Linked DNA regions of Pelodiscus sinensis. The protein of the gene in region 1 interacts with the protein of each later gene in a biochemical or structural test. Links are inferred from orthologs where the notes say so. Each region holds a gene or a part of one and is shown in the gene's direction. Other genes may lie near its edges.

The links. The genes of interacting proteins can lie anywhere in the genome.
Region 2: of the proteins of PRKN (region 1) and MFN1, one has a biochemical effect on the other in vitro, tested with the Homo sapiens proteins (3 studies listed by BioGRID). The link is inferred for Pelodiscus sinensis from reciprocal best matches to the Homo sapiens genes PRKN and MFN1.
Region 3: of the proteins of PRKN (region 1) and MTOR, one has a biochemical effect on the other in vitro, tested with the Homo sapiens proteins (2 studies listed by BioGRID). The link is inferred for Pelodiscus sinensis from reciprocal best matches to the Homo sapiens genes PRKN and MTOR.

The regions. Positions count from the first base shown.
Region 1 is NC_134713.1:115,480,168-115,487,339, reverse strand, and holds the start of PRKN (E3 ubiquitin-protein ligase parkin), read left to right. Parts: upstream 1-4,169; 5' UTR 4,170-4,295; coding exon 4,296-4,302; intron 4,303-7,172. Other genes in the region: PACRG (parkin coregulated gene protein), read right to left, coding at 3,579-3,725. UniProt on the Homo sapiens protein: Functions within a multiprotein E3 ubiquitin ligase complex, catalyzing the covalent attachment of ubiquitin moieties onto substrate proteins. Substrates include SYT11 and VDAC1.
Region 2 is NC_134720.1:44,552,894-44,560,117, forward strand, and holds the start of MFN1 (mitofusin-1), read left to right. Parts: upstream 1-4,221; 5' UTR 4,222-4,336; exon of another isoform or gene 4,337-4,371; intron 4,372-4,757; exon of another isoform or gene 4,758-5,375; intron 5,376-5,674; 5' UTR 5,675-5,681; coding exon 5,682-5,796; intron 5,797-7,224. UniProt on the Homo sapiens protein: Mitochondrial outer membrane GTPase that mediates mitochondrial clustering and fusion. Membrane clustering requires GTPase activity. It may involve a major rearrangement of the coiled coil domains.
Region 3 is NC_134733.1:11,465,634-11,473,626, forward strand, and holds the start of MTOR (serine/threonine-protein kinase mTOR), read left to right. Parts: upstream 1-4,990; 5' UTR 4,991-5,142; intron 5,143-6,799; 5' UTR 6,800-6,841; coding exon 6,842-6,961; intron 6,962-7,439; coding exon 7,440-7,548; intron 7,549-7,993. Other genes in the region: UBIAD1 (ubiA prenyltransferase domain-containing protein 1), read right to left, coding at 1,584-2,071, 2,810-3,332. UniProt on the Homo sapiens protein: Serine/threonine protein kinase which is a central regulator of cellular metabolism, growth and survival in response to hormones, growth factors, nutrients, energy and stress signals.

The DNA.
Region 1 (7,172 bases):
CAAATTATTTCTTCCATTCTAGTAGTGAAGGCACTTAAACATGGATCTCCACATCCCAGGTGAGTGCTCCAACCACTGGGCTAAAAGTTACACGGCGAGCACCACCTTCTCTGGCTGTTTTGTATGGCACTACACAGACATCTCACTTATTTCTGCAAAAAATAGTGTCAACATTTAAACTTCCTGACTTCAGGAGATGGGCTCCCATTTGTGGATGGCCAAATGAAGCTAGATGCCTTTGTGCAGCCTGCACTTAGGGTGTCTATCTCCATGAGAGGAAAGGGGCTTAGTATACAACTTTTTAGTTAGTATCTGCCTATAGCTAGCTAGGCAGTTCCCTGCCTAGCAAATTAACTTTTGTGTATCACATTCTTAGGCTCCTACCTCTTCCCATTAATTGTATAGGGAACCTATTTACTAGGGGTGGGCAATAATTTTTGATGGGGGGCCACTCCAAGATTCTGGAAAGTGGTCAAAGGCTGCACTCTTCCATGATATTAATGGAGGAGGTGCGGGGTCTGGGATGGAAGTTGGGTGCAGAAGGGAGATTGGGGTAAGGGATTGGAGAGAATGTGGGATCTAGGAGGGAGCTTGGGTGAAGGAAACAGTTGTGATCTGGGGCACTGGACTGTGGTGGAAGGGTTCGGATTGTGACATAGGACAGGAAGAGGTTGTGAACTGGGGTGTAAGGATTTGGGTTTTGATCCAGGCAGGGGACTGGGGTGCTGGGGTTTGGGATGTGACCTAGGGGAGAAGGGGTTTGTTACCTGGGGTAGAGGGCTGTGGTGCAGGTTCTGGGAGGGAGTATGGGTGCAGGAGAGGGGCAGACAGTTCGGGTTATATGGGGTAGGGGAGGCAGGAGTGGTGGGCACAAGGTTGGGGGAGGGAGGGGCTGGGGTGCCAGAAACAGGTTCTGGCTGGGAGACTTACTTGGGTGACTCTGGGCCAGCAGCCCAGCACATTTCTGATGCAGCTTCCCGTGTGTGTGTGTGTGTGTGTGTGTGTGTGTGTGTGAGAATAATTACAAGCCATAGGGGAGGGAGGTGTAGTTCTTTGTGTGCTGCCTGTTTTTCAAACAGGCAGCTTTCACTGGCCAGAAACAGCTCACAGTGGTGACAGAGAAATGTCCCGACAGCTGCTTTTCTGAGTGGAGTGTGGGTGGGGCGAGGCAATTAGGGAGCCTGCCTGGGGCTCCCTGCTGCGTCCGCAGGCCAGATCCCGTGGCTCAGTAGGCTGAATCTGGCCCGTGAGCCATATTTTATGCAGCCCTGTTCTACACTAACCTCAGGGTTTGTGGATCACAGTGGTGTTCCTGAATTATCTGAGCACATAAAACATTAGGTGATGCAATATTCAGCATTGCAATACCAAAGTCTTTTTGTGGATCTGACCAAAGACAGTCAGAACTTTATGTAACACTCCAGCAGAGGTATAAATAGAGAAAATTGTCTCATGAACTCATGTCTGTGCATTTGCAGCCAATAATTATCCAACAATTTGAAGGATGGAAATGCCACTAAACTTATTCCCAGAAATCAAGAAGAGAAAATAGGACTCACAAAAGATCTATGACCTGTCCAAATAAAAGGACAGAAACTGTCTAATGTTCATTTTACGGAGTATGTGGGATGAATGTAATTGCAGATTATCAAAGTAAGAGGCTGATTTAAGTGAAAATCCAGAACAAATTTGAAACAAGCATCAAAGACCAGCTTGCTTTTGTGAAAATGTAAGAATTAGGTTTTGGACATGAGGGCCTGTCACTCACTAGCATATATTGTAGATATGAGAGCTATTAGAAAAACACAATGTTATGATCTAGGAAATACATACTGATGGCTTCTAAATCGAGGACTCATGAACCTCAGGGTTAGAGATAAATGTTCTATGCCATTTGAAAGAGAGGATTCCCATATTTCAGCTGTGGTAGAGCATCAATTCTAGTTCTAAGCGCTTCAGAATGGTGATGATATAGTTCTTTGTGTTTCCACGGAGCCCAAATCCTGACTGGAGACTTTGTGAATTAAAAGCAGTAATAAACAAAGAAACAAAACAAACAGTTCTCTATATACTGATCACTAATTTCAGATTACGGTTCAAGTTTGTTGACTGTTCATATGCTTGCTTTATGTTATGTCCCTGTTTCTTACCTTTCATGTTTTGTGTCTTTAAGGCTTGATTGAGGCAAAGTTTTATGCATAAAATAATTATGTTCTATGAATAATCTTATTGAAGTTAATTTTATTATGCACCTGCATAAAGTTAAGCATCTGGGCGTGAGTGATTTGGCTGCTAACATTAAATAATAAACATTGTGTTTTTATTATTACGTGATAATAGGTCAATGCTGGGATGGGTTTTGCACTTAATTATTGTTGGCTTTTAGCCCAATTGGAACCTATAAAAGGGGGAAATGTTATTTCTCAAATACATTTTACAGATTACATTATATTTAGATAGACTGTTCGTTTCTTTTCCTTCTAAATGTTGACATATGTAATGAATTCCAGAGCCAGGTCAGATCAGTTTCTAGGGATTCTTTTCATGCATTTTGTAACTATTATCAGGAACATATATGCAGTTAAAGAGAGAGTGAGGGATAAAGCAAGAGACTGTTGCCAACACCTTGAATTGTACCCAAAAGCAAACAAAAAGCCAATACAGAGATTTGAGCACAGATGTTGTGTGCCCATAACAGCACTTTCCACTCAGTAACTGAGCAGCTGCATTCTGCATTACCACAAGCTTTGGGGTTTATTTATTACATTTAATGGAAGCAATCAATTACAACAATTATTGTCGGAAAGGTTCACTATAAAGACAGGATGGGATATCACAATTATTACTCATGGCAGAAGTGTTAGTGAAAGTAAAGATTGATGGATCAACCCCTATTTGACCGCCTCATGTTAAAAGGCTATCCACAAAAAAAGAATGTTTATTTTCAAGACAGTATTTACTAATACTGTGTGAAAGATATTTCATGATTATTGTTGGACTTTTTTTAAATGCTATATTTTTCATGTTTTCAGGATTAAATAATGACATTCAACTCTTTTATCTTACCACCTTGTATAGGTTTTCCTTTAATTAAAAATATGTGCTTATAATCATTTTTTCAGCTGAGAATTTAAGGACTGTCTCCTTTGCAAAGAGAAACTTTCCCCAGATAATGTGATATGTATGTCATAATTTCACCATATTTGACACAGTGCCATGGTATGAAATGGTAATATTTTAATAATGTACAGCATAATTATGTTTGGACATAACTCCATGATAGGTGGGCCTTTAAATCAATATATAATTGGATTATGCAATATATAACAATATGGTGACACAAAACTGACACATTTTAACAAGAGGCATGGCAATAGCCTGAGACACCGCCCTTACTTCAAGCTGACATTTCCTCAAGGCCTGAATGCTATTTGCATAACCCCAGACAAAATCATACCAACCCTACATACTTTCTGGCAGTCACAGTCCCCCTTCCACCCACCCACCGCCTCTTAACATGCTTCACAGGCAGATGAGACTAAATGAATGTAAAGCCTCTTTATTGGCAGCAGACGTACCACAGTGTTTTTCATCATGGCTTTAACCGTGAATCCATCGGTGACCTGCTGCTTGGCTCTCCTCGCCTGGCCTAGTGGCTGCTGCTGTTGTTGGGGTCTCTCTGCAGGCAGCTTGGGGGGGCTCGAATCCTCCTTCTCTGCCACCATCTCCCCAGGCACCTCTGTGGAAAACAGGAATCACAATACAGGCTAAAAGAATACATTGGAAAATAAAATCAACCTCACGCTCGGCTGCCCCTTCCTGGCCCCCTGCCCCTGCTGCCTTTTCTCACCCCCTGCTATCGCCTAGGTAGGGTCGGGGGGGCTGGGCCACTGACACGCTTTGTTGCTAACACCGACACGCTTCTAGGGACGCCTCACGGTTGCTAAGCAACGTGTCAACAACCTGCCCGGTTTCTGTTTGCGGTCACGTGAGGAAGGTGGGCGGGGCGAGAGGGGAAGGGGAGAGGGGGAAAGGAAATCGCGCCGATCACGCACCCCAGCCCTGGCGACAGTAAGAAAGCGCGGGCGCACAGGAGAACTACACTACCCAGAGGGCTACTGCGCTCAGCGGGGCACGCGCCAAGTTTCCGCATGCGCAGTACGGCCCAGCCCGTCCCACCGGCCCGCCCCGCAGTTTGCGTCTTCAGTCCCGTGCTGAAGGCGAGAATTTGAGCTGCGAGCGCGGACGGGACGGGGGCGTGCGCGCGCCCTCCTCCCTCCCCCCCCATCGTGGCCATGATAGGTGAGTGAGTGAGACCCGGATGCAGCCAGCGGTTCCTCCGCCCCCCACACAATCTATTCGCGAGCCAGTCCCACCGAGCCTGTGGCGCAGCAGCCTGGGCCCGGGACCCCCCCCCCCCCCCCCCCCCCCGGCTCGTGGCCACCTGCTCCACCCGCCTGTTGCCAGCACTGGCCTGGCCCCGCGGCTACCGACATAGGAAATTACTTGCGCTCCCCGCGCGCAACATGTTCACTCCCTGTGCAACCCCCCGCCCCAATACTCCCTTCCCCCCCGCGCACACAAACAGGGCTGCCAATTTTGGTATCTCATCATGGCGTAATATTTAATTAAAGATGAACCCTTTAATTCCTAGAGATTGCAGGACAACCGTGCAGGAATGGCAACACGCACACTGTAGAGTACGCACCCTTCCGTGCAACACCCCGTAGTGTATGCATTCCCCAACATAATGCAGCCACTCTGTAGGTTCTCACACCATGCACACGTACATCTATGCAGCCAGGGTACCCCGCACACACGCACTATAGGCACAATACATATGCATGCACTTAGTTTGTGACTCGAGATATTGCTAGTCTTGATCTCTTATTTAGCCAATATCAACATAATGGTGCTTTACGGCAAAGACATACTAGCACTGGTGCACCCAAGGGGAAAAAAAATTGACCGTTGACCAGCTTGTCCCCCTCTCTCCTAACACCTGCCTGCCACAGAAGGCTGTTTTTGCAGTGTGGGGGTGCTCATAGTGGGGGTGGGGGGAGGGAGGAGAACAGGGATATGGCATGTTTGGAGGAGGTGGTGGGTGAAGTCTGGGGGAGCAGAGGATGAAGAGTGGAGGTTGACCCCTTCTCCCCTGGTGCCTAATATGCTTCACAGGTAAGTGAAAGTATAAGTGACTGGACTCTCCACTCCTTTGCAGAGTACTACACTTATGCAAAGCAAGTGTGAAACCCAATGGAAAGGGATTGAAAGTGTTTTACATCAGCTTTGCACTGGCATATGTCCTCATAAAAAGAGTGTGATATTGATGACTTTTTTTCTTTTGACCTTCCAGGAAATATTTGTATCTTTTAATCAAGTGTATCCCTTTTGTTCTTTCACCATGTGGTCTGCTTATAAATCTAACTGTATGCAGTGTTGTATCTGTATTAAGTTCCAGGATATTGGAGAGACAGTATGGGTGAGGTAATATCTTTTATTGAAGCTTTGTGTCAGCTCATAAGCTTGTCTATCTCACCAACAGAAATTTGACTAATAAATTACCTTGCCCATTTTGTCTCTATAAATCTTGATGGCAGCTAAGTCGTGGTTCATCTTGATCTTTCCATTGCCTTCATGCTGGCTGAGAGTAGTTGTCTCTTGCAGTCCTGCCCTGCCATTGTTATCTCTTCACACAGCAGGAGTGGAGTTGAGGAATCAACTTACATTCGGGCTTCACAGATAGTGGTGGGAGGTAAGAGGGCACTGGGTGAAATGACCAGAGTTACCTCAAAGTTGACAACATGTATTGTGCAGATTACAACACGTGACCTTGTAATCCAACTAGCCAAAATTTCCCTCTGGTATTGGAAAGAAGAGGTAGTTAATCCCCAATATCCCTGTTCCCTCATTGTGGACCCCACAAATCACAAAGGCTACCACATGGTCTCAAAAACTGTAAACTTTTCCTTTTACATACTCCTCCTTTTTCACTTTAATTTTTATTTTGTTAATTACAGATGAAGAACATAACATTGAGGTCCTAGATAAAGTTGTTTGTGCTTGAAGGATTTCTTCCTATCCCCCGATTTTAAATACCTTTTTTCTGCCTCTCTCATTGGGTGTTTGTCTCCTATTTGAGATCTAATCAAAATTAAATATGTTCAATTTTATAGTTGATGTACTGATGAAACATTGATCCTCTAAAAGTTTTGTAACTGAATTTCTTGGGAAATTGCTGCACATTCCCTATTATTTTTGTAGCGAGAAGTTATTTTTCCTTTCTTGTTAATGTATGGTTTCTGGAATGTTAGTGTGATGTTCTCTTTAAACCATCTAAAAGCAAAAGAAAGTTGTGTAACTTTATGACGGTGTGATTTTTTTAATTCTATGTGAATATTATATGCAGTGTCTACTGCAATTTGTGCCTAGTTGCATATATCTGTTCCTTTTTTTCTAATGCAGTAGAGAGCATTTATAAGAAAACTTGATTTAATGAAAGAAGTGTTTTCTGACTCAAATATTTATATATCTTGATGAATTGTACAGAGTTCAGATCAGAGTACTTGCTTACAGAGCTGCAGTTAGTGTTCTTTTTAAAATTTTCTTTAATTTTTTAGCAAGTCAATATAAGACAGTTTTAAAAGGCATATGTGACTTAAAGTTTTGAAGGAATGAAAGGCTTGAGTGTCATATGCTTCTGATTGTGTGGCATGAAGAATTATAGAGCACGAACTGAACCCTAATCTTCCTGTTAGGATTAAATCTGCACCAGTCTTCAATTTTATTTGCATGTGGCTAATGCAACATACCTACTGACCCGAATTTAGATAGGCTATAACCTATTAAGACAGAAAATCTTAATTTAAACTGATCAGCTTTATATGGCTCATTTATAAATTGATCAAGAAAGTCTCAAAATAATTGTCAGATGCTAAATATATATATGTGTGTATGTAAAACATCGTTTTTTCAAACCTGACAAACACAGGAATCATGTTCTAACAGTATAGTGTTCTTGTGGAAAATTTTCTTTTGAATAGAAATTACTACAGATCAGCAATTTGATCTATCTGGTTGGTCCCTGCACTCATAAGGAGTACCACTGATGTCAGTGATATTTTGTATAGGCATATGGATGTGACCCAATGGGTCAGATTGTAAATATATAG
Region 2 (7,224 bases), on another chromosome or scaffold:
TACATGAAGTAAATAATTTGTCAAGTCATTTTCCTTTTTACTTTCTATTTAAAAAGTTACTTGTATTACCGTAGTTCCTAAGAACCCGTGTCATGGACCAGTACCCCATGTCACTGTAAAAAACAGAACAAAAAGATGGTTCATGACCCCAAAGTGTTCACAATCTGAGTATTAATTGAGAGACAAGAAGTGGATACAGACAATCAGACTGGGGAGTACAAAAACTCAGAGACAATATTATATATGATATGATAGGCAGGGCCCTATCAAATTCATGGCTGTGAAAAACATCACGGACTGTAAAATTACTCAAAAGACAGATTTCAATCTATACTATATAGATTTAATTGGGGAAGTCAGGCTATGTCTACACTGGCAGGTTATTGCGCAATAATGGCCGTTCTTCCGGAAAGAGTCCACATTGCCCGCCTGCTCTCACGCAAGAAGATTTACAGTACAGGGTGGTAAGAGAAGGCTTCTTGCAGAAGAGCTGTGCTCTTTAACAGGTGTAAGCCCTCTTGCGCAGGAGCTCTTGCAAGAGGGCAGTGTGGACGTTCAGCAGCGATTTCTTGCGCAAGAAAGCCCTATGGCTTAAATGGCCATCAGAGCTTTCTTGCGCAAAAGAGCGTCCACACTGCCATGGGCACTCTTGCGCAAAAGCACAGCTTGCACATGGCAGTGTGGACATTTTCTTGCGCAAGAGTTCTTGCACAAGAACCCTTGTGCAAGATGCCACCAGTGTAGACAGCCTCAGTGTTTCTCAAACTGGGGATCCCAACCCAAAGGGAATTGTGGAGGGTCACAAGATTCTTGTAAAAGGGGCTCATGGTATCGTTACCCTTACTTTTGAACTGCCTTTGGAGTTGAGTGGTCATAGAGCAGTGGCTTCTGGCCAGACACTCAGCTCTGAAAGCAGCACCCCACAAGCAGCAGTTCAGAAGTAACTGTGGCAATACCATACTGTGATGTCGTGGGGGTGCTGGCTGCTCTGTAACCTGGTGTCCCCCCTGCGCTGTGATGTGTGATTTCCACTGACTCACCCACATGTGTATTGGCCCAGACACTTAGGACCAGCCTGGGCAGTTAGCAAAGCTCTTCCCAGGGGGAGAGACAAAGGGAGGGAAGCAGAGATGATCATCAGGTATCGGGGGAAGGGTCAGTTGCTGGCTGGAAAACATTAAGGGAACAACCTAAGCTGAGGACTGAGGGTCTGGGGGGGGGGGGGAAAGATGGACCCCCTAACTTCAGGGATCTGAGGCATGCTGGCCTTGACTCCTGTAACCACATCACATCTGTGCAATGCTGTACCCTGGAGAAGCAATAAACCCTCTCTATTCTACTGGCTGGTTGAGTCTGTTCTTGCTGCTACGGGGCTGCAGGACCAAGGGAACCTCGACTGTGCTGTCACGCATACCATGCCACCCTTACTTCTGCTCTGCTACTAGTGATGATGCTTCCTTCAGAGCTACACTCCAGGACAGTAGCCATTGCTCTCCAGCTACCCAGCTCTAAGTCCAGAGGTGTAACCAGCAGCAGTGTAGAAGTAATATAATCTCCCTATAATGACCTTGAGATCACTTCCTCAAAAAAAAAAATCTGGATTGGGGCCGCTACTGTTAAACCACTGTGCCCTTTCAGATTTAAATACCTGAAATCATGAAATTTACAAATTTTAAAATCCTACAACTGAAATTAACCAAAATAGACTGTGAATTTGATAGGACCCTAATGATAGGCAATGGTCTCAATTGACCAACAGATTTTTGAATGCTGCCTGTTGCTTTTTGTGTTATAATCAACCCTCCAGCAACATTGTTACAAACACAGTTGCTTGGATTGCATAGCAATTTAGACTCATTCAGAGAAAATGCATTTAAATACATTCAATACAAAGTTAAGCACCTAGGAACAAGGAATGCAGGCTATACCTACAGAATGGGTGACTATTTTTGTAGACAGTGAGAAAGGTTTAGGGATCATAGTGAACAAGCACCTCATCAGCTAGAGTGACAAAAAGGGCCAATATGGTCATTGCATGTAAAATCAGGGGAGCAATGAGCAGGAAGATTTTACCTCTACATATGGCACTGATATGGTTGATAGTGGATTACCAAATCCAGTTTTGGTGTCCATATTTTAAAAGAGATGTTGACAAATTGGAGAGGCACAAAATAGAAGAGAGCCTCAAAATTACTGAAAAGCTTGAAAAAATAAGTGAGATGTAGAGAGCTCAATCAGTTTAATTTATCAAAAAACAAGATTGAGGTGATTTGATTAGGGTATAAGTATCTTCAGGGGGAGAAAATAGCACATAGTGACAGGATCTTTAATCTAGCCGATGAAGGCAGCATAAGAACCAATGTCTTGAAGCTGAAGCCAGACATATAAATTACACTTGTGGAATAGTGAGGTGGTGATTAATGATGTAAACAAATTACAAAGAGAAATGGTGGATTTGCCATCTTGATATCTTCAGATCACATTCTTGAAGATATGCTTTATTCAGACAAGTTATCTTTCTCAGTATAAGGGTAACTGGGTGAAATTTAATGGCCCGTGATATACAGATGATCAGAGTAGATCATCTAATAATCTCTTTTGGCCTTAAACTCTGTGCAAATGTTAACAGCTCCCATAATTTCTGCAGATAAAATTATTTCTTCTGGGGCTGAAACCAATCTCCTGATGGCATCAGAAAGTCTAACCTTCTCCTGGAATTAATTTCTGCCTGTAGGAAGACTTCTCTGGCTGTCTTCTCCAAACCCCATTTATGTACCTCTTATAGTAGCCAAGAAGATATTTGGGAACAGAGAGGGAGCAACTGCCACCCTTCTGCTGCCTTTCTTCTCCATTCTTTGAGAGGGTACTTAGTATCTCCAGGGCTGAGCAGCTATGTTTCCTCTTTTCACCCATTCTTGGTTCCATGAGCAATGGTTCACTCTGCTCTCTCCATCTCTTCAGTGCCAGGCCTGGGAAGTGGAGAAGGCATGAAGAGCTCCCTAGAGCTGTGCACCTACTCCAAAGGCCTATGAAGGGTAAGAAAAGGATACTGCTGCAGCTGTTCTCCAGGCATTGGGGGAGGCAGGGAGAAAGAACACTAGGGCTACGTCTAGACTGGCATGATTTTCCCAAATGCTTTTAACGGAAAAGTTTTTCTGCTAAAAGCATTTGCGGAAAAGAGTGTCTACATTGGCACAATGCAGGACAATGTAGCACTTTAAAGACTAACAAGATGGTTTATTAGATGATGAGCTTTCGTGGGCCAGACCCACTTCCTCAGATCAAATAGTGGAAGAAAGTAGTCACAACCATATATACCAAAGGATACAATTAAAAAAAATGAACAAATATGAAAAGGACAAATCACATTGCAGAACAGGAGGGGGATGCGGGGGGGGGGGGGGGAGGAAGGAAGGTAAGTGTCTGTGAATTGATATTAGAGGTCGGGAGAGTGGGATGTTTGTGAGTTAATGGTATTAGAGGTGATAATTGGGGAAACTATCTTGGTAATGGGTGAGATAGTTCAAGTGTTTGTTGAGTCCTTTTTGGAAAGTGTCGAATTTTAACATGAATGACAGTTCAGAGGATTCCCTTTCAAGTGCAGATGTAAAAGGTCGTTGTAGCAGAATTCTGCACAGACGCTTTTCTGCAAAAGCACTAGTGCCAATCTAGACGCGGTTTTGCGCAAGAAACCCCCGATTGCCATTTTTGCGATCGGGGCTTTTTTTGCACAAAACAATAACCCGTTGTCTACACTGGCCCTCTTGCCCAAAAGCATTCGCCCAAGAGGGCTTTTGCGTGAACGGGAGCAGCCCAGTATTTCCGCAACAACACTGACAATCTTACATGAGAGCGTCAGTGTTCTTGCGGAAATTCAAGCGGCCAGTGTAGAGAGCTGGAAAGTTTTTCCACAAAAGCAGCGGTGGTGGAGTAACTCGCCTCCATTTTAAAGAAAGACGGGAGCTCCCATCGCCTCCTGGGGCCCTTAGTAAAGATGGCGCTGAGAGCCAGATTCCGCTGTGGCGGGCTTGTTCCGTGCCCTCAGTGAAGATGGCGTCGCGCGTAAGACTTTCTCGCAGGCAGTTTTCCTTCAGTAAAGATGGCGACTCCCGGGGGGGGGGGGGGGGGGCTCATTTCCGGTCGTCTTCAGCTTGGCTGCCCTCGTTAAAGATGGCGAACCTTGCTTGCGGCGGGGGTACGCTAAGGGCAGAGGAAGCGGAAGTGATGCTGCTAGCTCCTCCTTCCCCCTCCCCCCCCGCGAACGGGGCGAAGAGGCAGGAGGTGCGGCGGCGGCGGCCCCCCCCCTCCCCCAACCGCAGCGCGCAGCAGTTGCTGGGTAACGGGGGAGCGCACGAGGCGGGGGCGCTGCAGGTGATAGGGACGCGGGGCAGAGAGAGGCTGTGGGCGGCTCTGGCGAACTGCCAGGGAGGTCACGGGGGCTGCGCCGTAGGACCCCCCCCCCACCAGTCATTTTCCTGTGGGGGGGGGGCGCTAGGGACCCCTTCCATCTCCCACCCCTTTCTGCGGTCCCGGTGTTGCGGGCGGCTGCGTCCGTGGCTCCCTGCCCCGGGCTCGTAGCCTGGTGTAACACCCCCAGCTGAGGGAGGGTGGCGGCTCCTGAAGCGACCCTCTTTCGAGGCCGGTGGCATGATGGGCTACTGTGAGCAGCAAGCAGATTGTTCGTGGCCCGGGGGGGGGTGGCGTGTCCCGCCGCGCCCCCCCCCCCCTCCCCTGGCACATGGGAGAAGCTAGTCACTTACCTTGCTGTGCTAGTCACTTTCATCGTGTGGCAATCCTGCCCTTTGCACAGAGCGGCAAACCCCGCCGAGAAAAGTTTAACTCTACACCTCGTTAATAACGAAGCAGGAGACTCTTGAGTTTGCAGCTTTGTCAAACCTTTCTCCTTTATATTTTTAAGTCCTAGAACTTTATTTTTTTAGTGGCCCATTAGAGAGACAAGGTGAACTGGCCTGTGAATAAATTGGCCAATGAATAAATTTAATTTATTGAGCATAGGGGAAAAAGGACCTGGGGAAATGCCTTGAAAATGTGGTCTGATTTTTTTTCATCTCTTTCTTGTTGGAAAAAAGGATATAAAATGTTCTGGTATACATGCGTCTAGGAGGCTAGATGACTTGGATTGGTGATGTAATTAGTCTTTCATTTATTGGGCTGTAGCTACAAGGCCTCAGAACAAAGTTAAGATGCTGTATTTAAATGCAGTTCCAGTTAAACTTGTTTCTACATAACCTGGTCTGTGAGGTGGAACCAAACTAAGGTGTTTAAAAAAGTGTTTCCGCTAACATCCTGAAATGATTATTTGCTGGGCTGACTTAATATTCTGTATCAAACCAAATCTAATAACTTGCTTTCTGGTATGTATGCATATGAGTTTTTATGTAAACAGATAAAGTAATTCATCTATGTATTTTATCTAGGACAGGAGAGAAAATATATTAGAAATTACAATTTTATCCCTTTGTAATTTGACATTTCTGTTGCTGCTAGATTAGAAAATTTAAAAAACAGTAACACTAATTTCAACTAACATTCAACTTGGTGTATCCATTTTTAAAATTTATGTTTTACTTGCTTCATTAAGGGAAGTTGATGTGTTGTGTTCTACTTATTTCTAGTAAGTGTTTCAGTCATTTGGATGTAATTTCTCTTTCAGTTGCATAATGGCAGAAACTATGGCCTCCCCCCTGAAACACTTTGTGCTGGCTAAAAAGACAATTACTGCTATATTTAACCAACTGCTGGACTATGTCACTGAAGGAGCAAGTTTTGTTGAAGGTTAGTTTTCACTTTTGGGGCAGGGACCTTGCATCTTTGTGTGTAAAAATTAGCATAACAGGTTTCTGGTCCTTATGGGGTCTCTGGGTACAATGATAACATATGCATTCTTCAATAAGAGTCTTGGGGTATATACAGATATTTTAAGGGGTGGTAGTATGGTGCAGTGAGTTGGGAAATCTAGAGTTTATTCTCTTCTTAGCTTGATTTAATGTATAACCTTAGGAAAGTCACTTAAACCTACACTTTCAAACTTGGATACCTAAAGACAGGCACTTTAATAAAAGTGGATTTTCAGAAGTGCTAAGCAGCTGCAGCTTTGATTTAATTAAACTACTTGTGCTAGGCAACATTGAGAGTATGTCATAACTGCAGAGTTAATGTGTGTTCTTACTCAAGTGTTGCCTCTAACCATCTGCCACTCCCCACACACAAGCTTCTGAGCAGAGTTATGTGATGCCTTCAGTTCAAGTTCAATGGCTCTTCTGGGACCTTAGGCGAAAGCCAGAGTCTTTCACCGGGGTTGGTATCCAGTGAGTGGCCAGTGAGGATACAGTGTAAACTACTTGAATGCTGATAGACTTCCGGTGTTCTAACAGTTTATTCCTTGTGACCAGAAAAAGAAACCACTTCTCCAACAATTCACTAGGAAAGAATCATTTGACAACTCAACCTGCTACAGCACAAAGAACTATTGCAGTGGCTCCCAACCTTTTTGAGCATATGGACCTCTTTTCAGTCTATTAAAATGTCATTGACTCCCCTCCCTGGGGGAGAAAAAAGAAAATAAAAAGTATCCTTCTTTTTAAACTTTCCATGGACCCTTTGCAGTACTGTTGCGGACCACAGGTTGGGAACCACTGAACCATTGGATATACCTTCCTAAAACTACTAGCAACACATAAGCATGCATGTAACACCAGTGTGGGCATAGTAACTCAAATGCGGCTATGGGAGTTTGGAATGGCTGCCATAAGAGGAGAGATTAATAAAACTGGGACTTTTCAGCTTAGAAAAGAGGAAACTGGGGAGAAGATCATGGAAGTCTATAAAATCATGACCAGTGTAAGGAAATTAAATAGGGAAACATTATTTACCTGCTCCCATAACACAAGAACTAGGGTTTACCAAATAAAATTAATAGGTAGCAGATCTAAAGCAAACAAATAGAATTATTTCTTCATGCAGTATATACAGTCAACCCATGGAACTCCTTGCCAGAGAATGTTGTGAAGACTAGGATTTTAACAGGGTTCAGACAAGAACTAGATACTTTTATGGAGGATAGTGACTATTAGCCAAGATGAGTAGGAATTAGGGATGAAACTTATGATTAATGTTAACCAGTGGAGGCTGGAGCAGCTCCCTGCCTGCCACAAGTAGGGGGCTGCTTCAGCCCTGCGGGGGGGCCTGCTGCTGACAGGGGCT
Region 3 (7,993 bases), on another chromosome or scaffold:
ATTTCACGCAGAGAACAAATAATATTTCCCAATGAAGAACAGGGTTCAGTGACCATGGGAAAATGTGAGAGTCAAATACACTCTGTTGTGCCTTAATAAAATCAATAGAGTGTCTCCAAGCTGTACTTGGCACTGTGTGTTTCATATCATTATATGTTGTGTAAAATAACATTCATGCACAGGGCTACATTAGTACCGTTACAGGACAACAGGGGTGGAAGTGGCACAATATGCAAGTAGAATATCTAGAAAGACACAATCCTACAGAGTGATCTAGAACTTCAAAACTGACCAGTGAATCACAGGAGCATCATCAAAACATTGCTCCCCCCCACACTGGAAAAGAGAAGAAGAATCTATCAGCAAGAATAATGTACTCTCCTGATTTCTGTACAAAGTCACTGCAGAAATTTAGACTCCTTCCTGCAATGCCCCCATCATTCTCCCTTGCTGCCTCCAGCTTGCCTTACAATAGGATGACAAGCAACTTTAAGTAGATGACAGATATGGAGAATGACAAAAAACACTTTGCTACTAGAGACTTGCAACTACAACATGTGTCTGTTAGTCAATATCCAACTGTCTACAGAGCTTTGTTACCCTGCCTGACAGTTTTGGGGGGGGGGTTAAACACCAAGACTTTTTCATCTTAGGCAGAAGGGTCTGAGCACGAGACTAACATAACATCAAGAAGAGAACTTTTCATCTCACCAAGTGTTTATAAGCTTCTTAGCTGCATAACTTGCACTTCTGACCCCTAGCTACTTAAAGAGGGAGTGGAAGTTCACTTTTGGCTTTAAGCTCAGTGCAATGGAGCAGTTATATTCCATTTCAGCACCTATATACCACAGCAATGGATACTTTAGAAATGCCTAGGTAGAAAGGCACTGGCAGATCTGGCAGTGGGAGCATGAGAAACTGCTGTCTTCCATAAATCAGCAGTTCTGGATGGATACACATGCCCTATTTCACATTGCTATGAGACTAGGAAATACAAGATCAAGATTAAGCAGAAATTGGGGGGGGGGGAGAAAACAGTCCGGGTGGTGGAGATGAAGATTTATAATGAAGGGAGTGAAGTAACAGCATCTGCTTTATTGCAATGCTGACCAAGTTAAAGCTTTGAGTGGCAATTTGCATGTGGCACAGTGTAGAAGTGGAGCTACTGAATCTTTGCTTCATGTTGGGAGGGGATGACTCACAGATCAAGGTTCAATGTGCCTGGGAGGGGAAGGAAGAGTTCAAACTTGAAGCTCAGCCCTGCTCTCATTGAAGTTAAGTTCCTTTGAATTCAATGACAGCAGCAGCAAGTCCTTGAAACATCTGTCTGCTCTCAGGGTGAACTGCAATAAGCACCAAGAGAAAACAAGACCCATGTTGTCAATTCAACTCTTCTCCAAGACACCATTAGAAGTCTCTAGTACGAGAGAAACCGTTTATCTCAACAAGACCAAAGCCCACAATATTCACATGGGGTCACTGCCTTGAGCTAGCCTTCTTGCTCTGGCCACCATCCACAACAAACCTCCGACTTCCAACCGAGATCTGCCATTAACACTGAAGCCACGAGGCAGCGCTAGCTGTTACAGTTTGGGCAGTGTGCCTGGTGGTGCCAGCAGAATACCAAAAACATAGAAGAGCCCCAGCAGGAGATTGAGCTTGGCTGTCCGCTGGGGAAGTTTGCTGAAACTCTGGCTCCGGAACTGCCTCTCCAGCGAAAAGGCCATAGGAATGGTAAGTAGTGGTAGTGCCATGCTGATGGTATAGCGTGTGGCCAAGACGCAAAAAATCAGGTAGGGCAGGAAGAGTAGTGTGTTGTAGAGCATGTAGGAGAACATGGGGCCAATGAGGATAGCCAGGGTGACAATGCCTGCTTGCTGGTCAGATTCCATGTCCCGAGTGTTGTTGCTGTGCAGGATGGCCTCCGTGCTGAGGGCTAGTGGGATAGCATAGAGCAGCGGTGAGACAGACAGATAGCCAACCTGCACGGCATGGGCAAACATAACAGCCAGGGGTCCAAACGTGATGAGGATCACCAAGTCGCCAAGTGCAACATATTTAAATCCAATTCCTGTGGCAATAAACAAGATGAAAACAAGTGTCAAGTGTTACCAAGTAAAATTTACTTTACAGAGAACAACAGATGTTTCTTAAACAGATCAGCTCCTAAAAATTGCTGTAAAAGCCAATACACAGCTAGGGCAGGGCTACACACGTTCTTTTATTGCCCCAGAATTGATTATCCTTTACCCTTTCCAAAGATAATAAAGCAAATACAATTTTTGCAATTTCCAGTCTCAACCAGTGAGCAAAGATTAAGGGGCAGATTCCAGTTATCCATCTGGAATACCTTATTCCACAAGCAGTCCTACTGAAGTCAAAGGGATTACACATGAAGTACAGTGCTACCCAATGTGAATACAGATAGAATCTGTCCATGAGCTGATGCAACAATGAGAGTAGAGTAACAGCTGCTACATCTTCCAAATGATAGTTTGTGAATCCTAGAAACTAATCTTACTTATAGCAAAACACAGGGTATGTCTCTTCATCTACCAGATAGCTTAACTGATGAGGCAAAATCAACTTTTTTTATCTTGAAATGTCCCTTAAAAATATCTTAAGTTTACTTTTCATTTGAAATTAGATCTGGCCAATAACAAATAACAAACCCTACTGATAGTACACATTGGGCTCCCTCCATGGAGAAGAGAGCATAAATAATTAATCAAACCAGCTGACATACACCAGATATACATTTCACACACAATTTCTGCAGAGACTTAAGAGTATGGAGTACAACCCTTACCTCCAGTATAAAGGAAAGAGCTGGAAAGTCCACCAAAGTAAATCAGGGCCAGGTGCTCCAGCTTGAGAGTAGAGAGACAGTAGAGGCAGGCAGCACAGACACAGCCCAGAGTATAGAGGAAGACCCCAAATCGAACCACATCCTGAGGCTCCAAGATCTGGTCCACCAATGTCCGGTCATCACTCTTCTTGTGGTCAATACCCTTTGAGAAGTCATAGTAGGTATTAACCAAGTTGCCTGCTCCATGCACAGCCAGGACAGCCACTGCACTGCCCACTAGCAGCCCTGGGTCTAGGGATCCTTGGGACCGATAGGCTAGGGCACTGCCCAGAGCTACAGGAGTCAGAGAGGCACTGAAGCTCCAGGGCCGCAGGGCCAGGACATAGGCTGCACATTTCTGCCTCCAGGTGCCTGGATGGCTCTTCTCAGAGCTTAGCAGCCCTACACCCAGCTCCCCCAGGTCAACACTTCTAGGGCTCTCAGCACTGATGCTAATCTTCTCTGTCTGATCCTCAGACTCCATGCTCTTCACGCAGCTGCTTCAAGAGAAGGTGCTGGACAGAGACCTGGGAAAGCCAGGAGAGTTTGCATTAGTAACTGTAGCCTAAAAAGGAAACCGGCTTCTCCGGTGGCTCAACGGTGGCACACAACCCGGGGGGGAGCTGCCAGGCCGTGGGGGAGTCCGCCCGCAATGTGAACCTCTGCCCACAGCAGCACAGAGAGCGAGTGGCAGGGCCCATCCCATGCTGGGCACCACAAGGGAGAAGCCGGGTCCTCCCGTGGCTTTCACCTCCACGTGCGGCGCCTCGGCCCCCGCAGCCCATTTCCCCGACCTCCGTGTCCCCTGCGGGAGGAAGAAAAGGCCCCAGGGGCAGGGGCGCAGCCCGGGTGAGGCGCCGGGGAGGCAGCTCCGAACCCGGGGCGGGGCTGAGCTTGCTTCCCCGACTTACGGGGCTTAGGGTGGCTCCAGGGCCCCCTCGCCTGTTGCAGAGCCAGGTCCCCGACAGGCCTCTCCGCTCACGAGCAGGCCGGGCACTCGGGACCACGGCAACCACCCGGAGGTGCTACGTGTGCACCAGCCAGGCCGGCCCCTCCAGAAACAAGGGCACCGCTTACCGAGGTTCCGCTTGCTCTGAGGGCAACTCAGGGCCTGAGGAGGGGGAAGGATGGGGGAAGAGCCCCACCCACACTGTTAGTAACTCAATGGGGGGGGTGCCTTCTCGCAGGGGCGAGGTGGCATAGTTAGGTGAAACCCCTTCCTTGGCGTCACTCAGCCAGTCCCTAGCAGAGCTGAGGGTTGACCCTTGCAACCCCATTTCCATTCTTTAGCTAGAGACTATAGAGACTTCCCTATGCCCAGCGCTGCACACTGGTGCTTGTGATGCTGCATGCACACACAGGCCCATGCAGGCGGAACAGTCTACCTGGGCCATTGTTTGCAAGATCAGAGCCTTAACCTCTCCAAGCCTCAATTTTCCCAATCTGCAAAACCCGGGATAACAATCCAGAGAGAGTAATATGCGGGAAATACTCAAATAAACTGGTAATAAGTGATAGAGGAAAAGCGTAGGACGTTAATACCTGCCACATTTATTAAGTTATTAACCATTATTATGAACTATTACGGAGCATCCACATCTGTTCATGGGTAACAATAACAAGCCTGTTTATTTGAACACTTCCCCATTAACATTAGCAGTAGATCATGGCTATTAAACGCTCTGTGCGGATTATCATTGTACCTATTCGCTATTCTACGTGTCACAAACGCGGCTGGCTTCTACACGCGTCATTACGGGAACAGAGCGCTCTTCGGGGGGGACTCATTTCATGGCTGCACCCAGAACAGTAGAGACGCTGACAGCGGGGGATAAAAGGGTTCACGCGGCGGAAGACTCCTACAGTCTCCACGCTTAGAAAAAGGGCCGATGCGGCGCCTTTTCCGCTTGCGCACAAACCTGTATCGCTTCAGAAAGGGCGGAAGCAAGGCGGCTTTCCAAAGACGGGGGCAAACTCTGAATTCTAACCAATTACGCGGCCTCTCGCTGACCATTGGTGAATCTAAATGTCAGTCTATCACTCTCTGCCCTTTGATTGGCCAGAAGTAACTCCACCCGCCTCCAGCGGGTTTTTTTTTTGGAAGGGGTGGAACCACGAGCCGCCTAGTAAACCCTCCTGCCCCGCAAAACTATTGGCTGGGCCACCTGCTAGTTACAGTCCCCTCAACGCCGATTGGCTGGCGGTTTTTCGCCGGGCCGGCGGCAGCAGTGGGGGGGAGGGGAAACCCGGGGCCCAAGCTGGGGAGCCGGTCGCGGCTGGGCCGGGTGGAGGCGGTGAGTGAGGGGGGCCCCGATCCGGAGCTGGGAAGTCATCCCCCTCCCCCCAACGCCGGACTGCGGGGGCTGCCTCCCCTCCCCCACCGCCCGGCCGGCTGGCGCAGGCGTCCAGCAGCCGGAGCCCTGTCAGCGGGGCCGGGGCGCTGCCCTGGGGGCTGCTGGCAGGGGCCCGCCCCGCAGCACGGGAGATGCCCGGAGCTGGTAGCCCCCCCCCCCCCCCGGGGCCTCCCCGCTCTGCTGCCGCCGGGGCTGGGACCGTGGCCTTGGAGCTGCGCCGGCTTCCCCCTCGCCCCTCGGGGAGCGGCCGGGTCTGAGCCCCCCGCTCATGCGGGCAAGGCCGCTGCCCTTGGCTCTGGGCCCGGATCCTAGGCCTGGTTGGCCCTCGCTAGGCAGGCTGCGTCCACCCCTCGTGCATTTCTCTCTCCGGAGAAGAGGGCGCCTCTCTGGGCTGCTCCTCCAGCCTGGGTCCGAGCACGGGAGCCGGCCCTGGCCTGGGGGGATGCTGGTAGCTGGAAAGATTCCACACTAGACTCAGAGGCATCTGCTGTACCCGAGGATTTTAACGACGCAGGGTTGTCCAGTAGCTAGTGAGGAATAGGGACCCAGGGCTCCTTAAGGGTCTGACCCTAGTTCTGCTACTCATTTGCTGTTTGCCCAGTAGTAAAGTCTGTGACCGGTTTCCCCCTTTCTTAAAAAGTGTATTTTTAACCTTTGCAAAAAAAAAAAATGCACCTATCACCATGGTTTCCAGACATGCACAATATTAAACATCCCATTAAAGCAGTGATGGGCGATCTATTTAGCGAGCGGGCTGCATGAATCTCCAGCCTGCATCTTAGCGGGCTGCAGAATTAACATAACCACGGTGGTCTCCCAGGTTAAGGTAGTTTTGCTAACTCTGCTTGCATGCCTAGAACTTTCAGGGTGAGCCAATTGAACCGTAGCAGTGCTTTGATTGGATGCAACAGGAACACTCGGCTCTTGCAGTCAATGTTGTATGCAAACAGCATGTACCTCACTTCATGTTGCCCACCACTGCATTACAATGATGGTTGCTGGCATGAACAGATTCTCGGCCTATAAATATACATTGGGGTTTGACTGTGTTTGTAAAGAATTTTCTGTTCTTGGATGAAAGGCAACATAGAGGAGCAAATTAGAGTAACAATAATATTGACATGCATGCCAAGCGGTCCTTATCCTCCTTGTAACTTTGCATGACTGGGAACACCTCGGAAGCACAGCCCAGTGTGTATATTTGGGCGTGGATTTGATTTGAGCATGTCACATGTGAGCATGAATGGTTTGGGATGAGACTGGGGGAGTAAGGGAGGTTAAGCTCCGACCTGCTTCTGTAGGATGCACTGAAGGACTTAGCAACCTAGTGAAGGACTTAGTGGCCAGGGTACAGACTCTTAGATTCCACAGATCTTGGTGAGACTTAAGTGAACTCTGGAGCCCTACCAAGGTCTGTGAAATGTGAGAGCCTGTACCTCTGTCATGGATCTCATGGAATCTTTGTAGTTACTGTGGCATCTGAGAGCCCACTGTGTCTCATGGCATGTGTATTTGGGAGCAGTAATTTGGAGCAGTGTGGTGGAGGGAGCTATAATTGGCTTCTGCAAAAGCAAAAAATAGGTTTTCTGTATAAAAGGTCCACCGGACTTGATGCCCCAAGCCCTGACTCATCACCACCATGTCGGGCACCGTGTCCATCCTTCAGCACTTTGCCAGCGGCCTGAAGAGCCGCAATGAAGAAATCAGGGCAAAAGCCGCCAAGGACTTGCAGCATTATGTCACCATGGAGCTCCGTGAGGTAAGTGCTGTAGATGTGGAAGCAGCAGCATTTAGCTGGGGAGATATGTTTGTATTATGTGGCTGGGGAATGAGAGGTGTCACCAGTAGGGATGTAAGTGACTAGTTAAGTGCTGTAGATGTGGAAACAGCAGCATTTAGCTGAGGAGATATGTTTGTATTATTTGGCTGGGGAATGAGAGGTGTCACTAGTAGGGATGTAAGTGACTATTTAAGTGACTACTTGACTATTCGCTATCCACACCCACCCCCACACCCCAGCCCCGCTGTCTCTGGGGGTAGATCCCAGAGCTGGTGCAAGCTGGGACTGAGCAGTCCCGGCTCGGGCCGGCTGTGGGACCTGTACAGCTCTGTATTTTAAATGTAGTAAGAGCTGCCTTTGAATTTGGGAGCCTGGAAAGTGTTGTTGCCCTTCTTCATCTGGGGCACAGGTAGTGGAAAAGGGATTATAAATCGGTCTGAATTCCTTTCCTGTGCAGATGAGCCAAGAGGAATCCACTCGTTTCTACGATCAGTTGAATCACCACATATTTGAACTGGTCTCTAGTTCTGATGCGAATGAAAGGAAAGGAGGCATTCTGGCTATAGGTGAGTAAAGGAATTCATCAGCATCTTTGGTGAACTTCCTCTTCAAGTTCTATAGAGGCAGGTTGTCAAAAGAACTCTGCACCTACAAGAGGCACTCTGTATGCTGAAGAGAGCTCAGTGCAATGAGGGTGTATGGGATGCAGAACTCTTAAAACTCTGAGGCTGCTCAAGAGGGCTTATACCTGAGCAGGAGCGTCGGAGTATTTGCGCAATAACCACTGATTTTGTACATTACAAAGTCAGTGTTCTTGCACAAATAGTCGTGGCCAGTGTAGACAGGCGGCAAGATTTTGCGCAAAATTGGCCACTTTTGCTCAAAATCATGCCAGTCTAGACGCAGCTTGACTGTAAATGTCACATTGGGAGCTGTTGGTTGCTGAGCACTTCTGAAAATCTGGCCCTATGCTCTTTATAGTGTCCAGTGTTGTTGGTGGTCATAATAGGC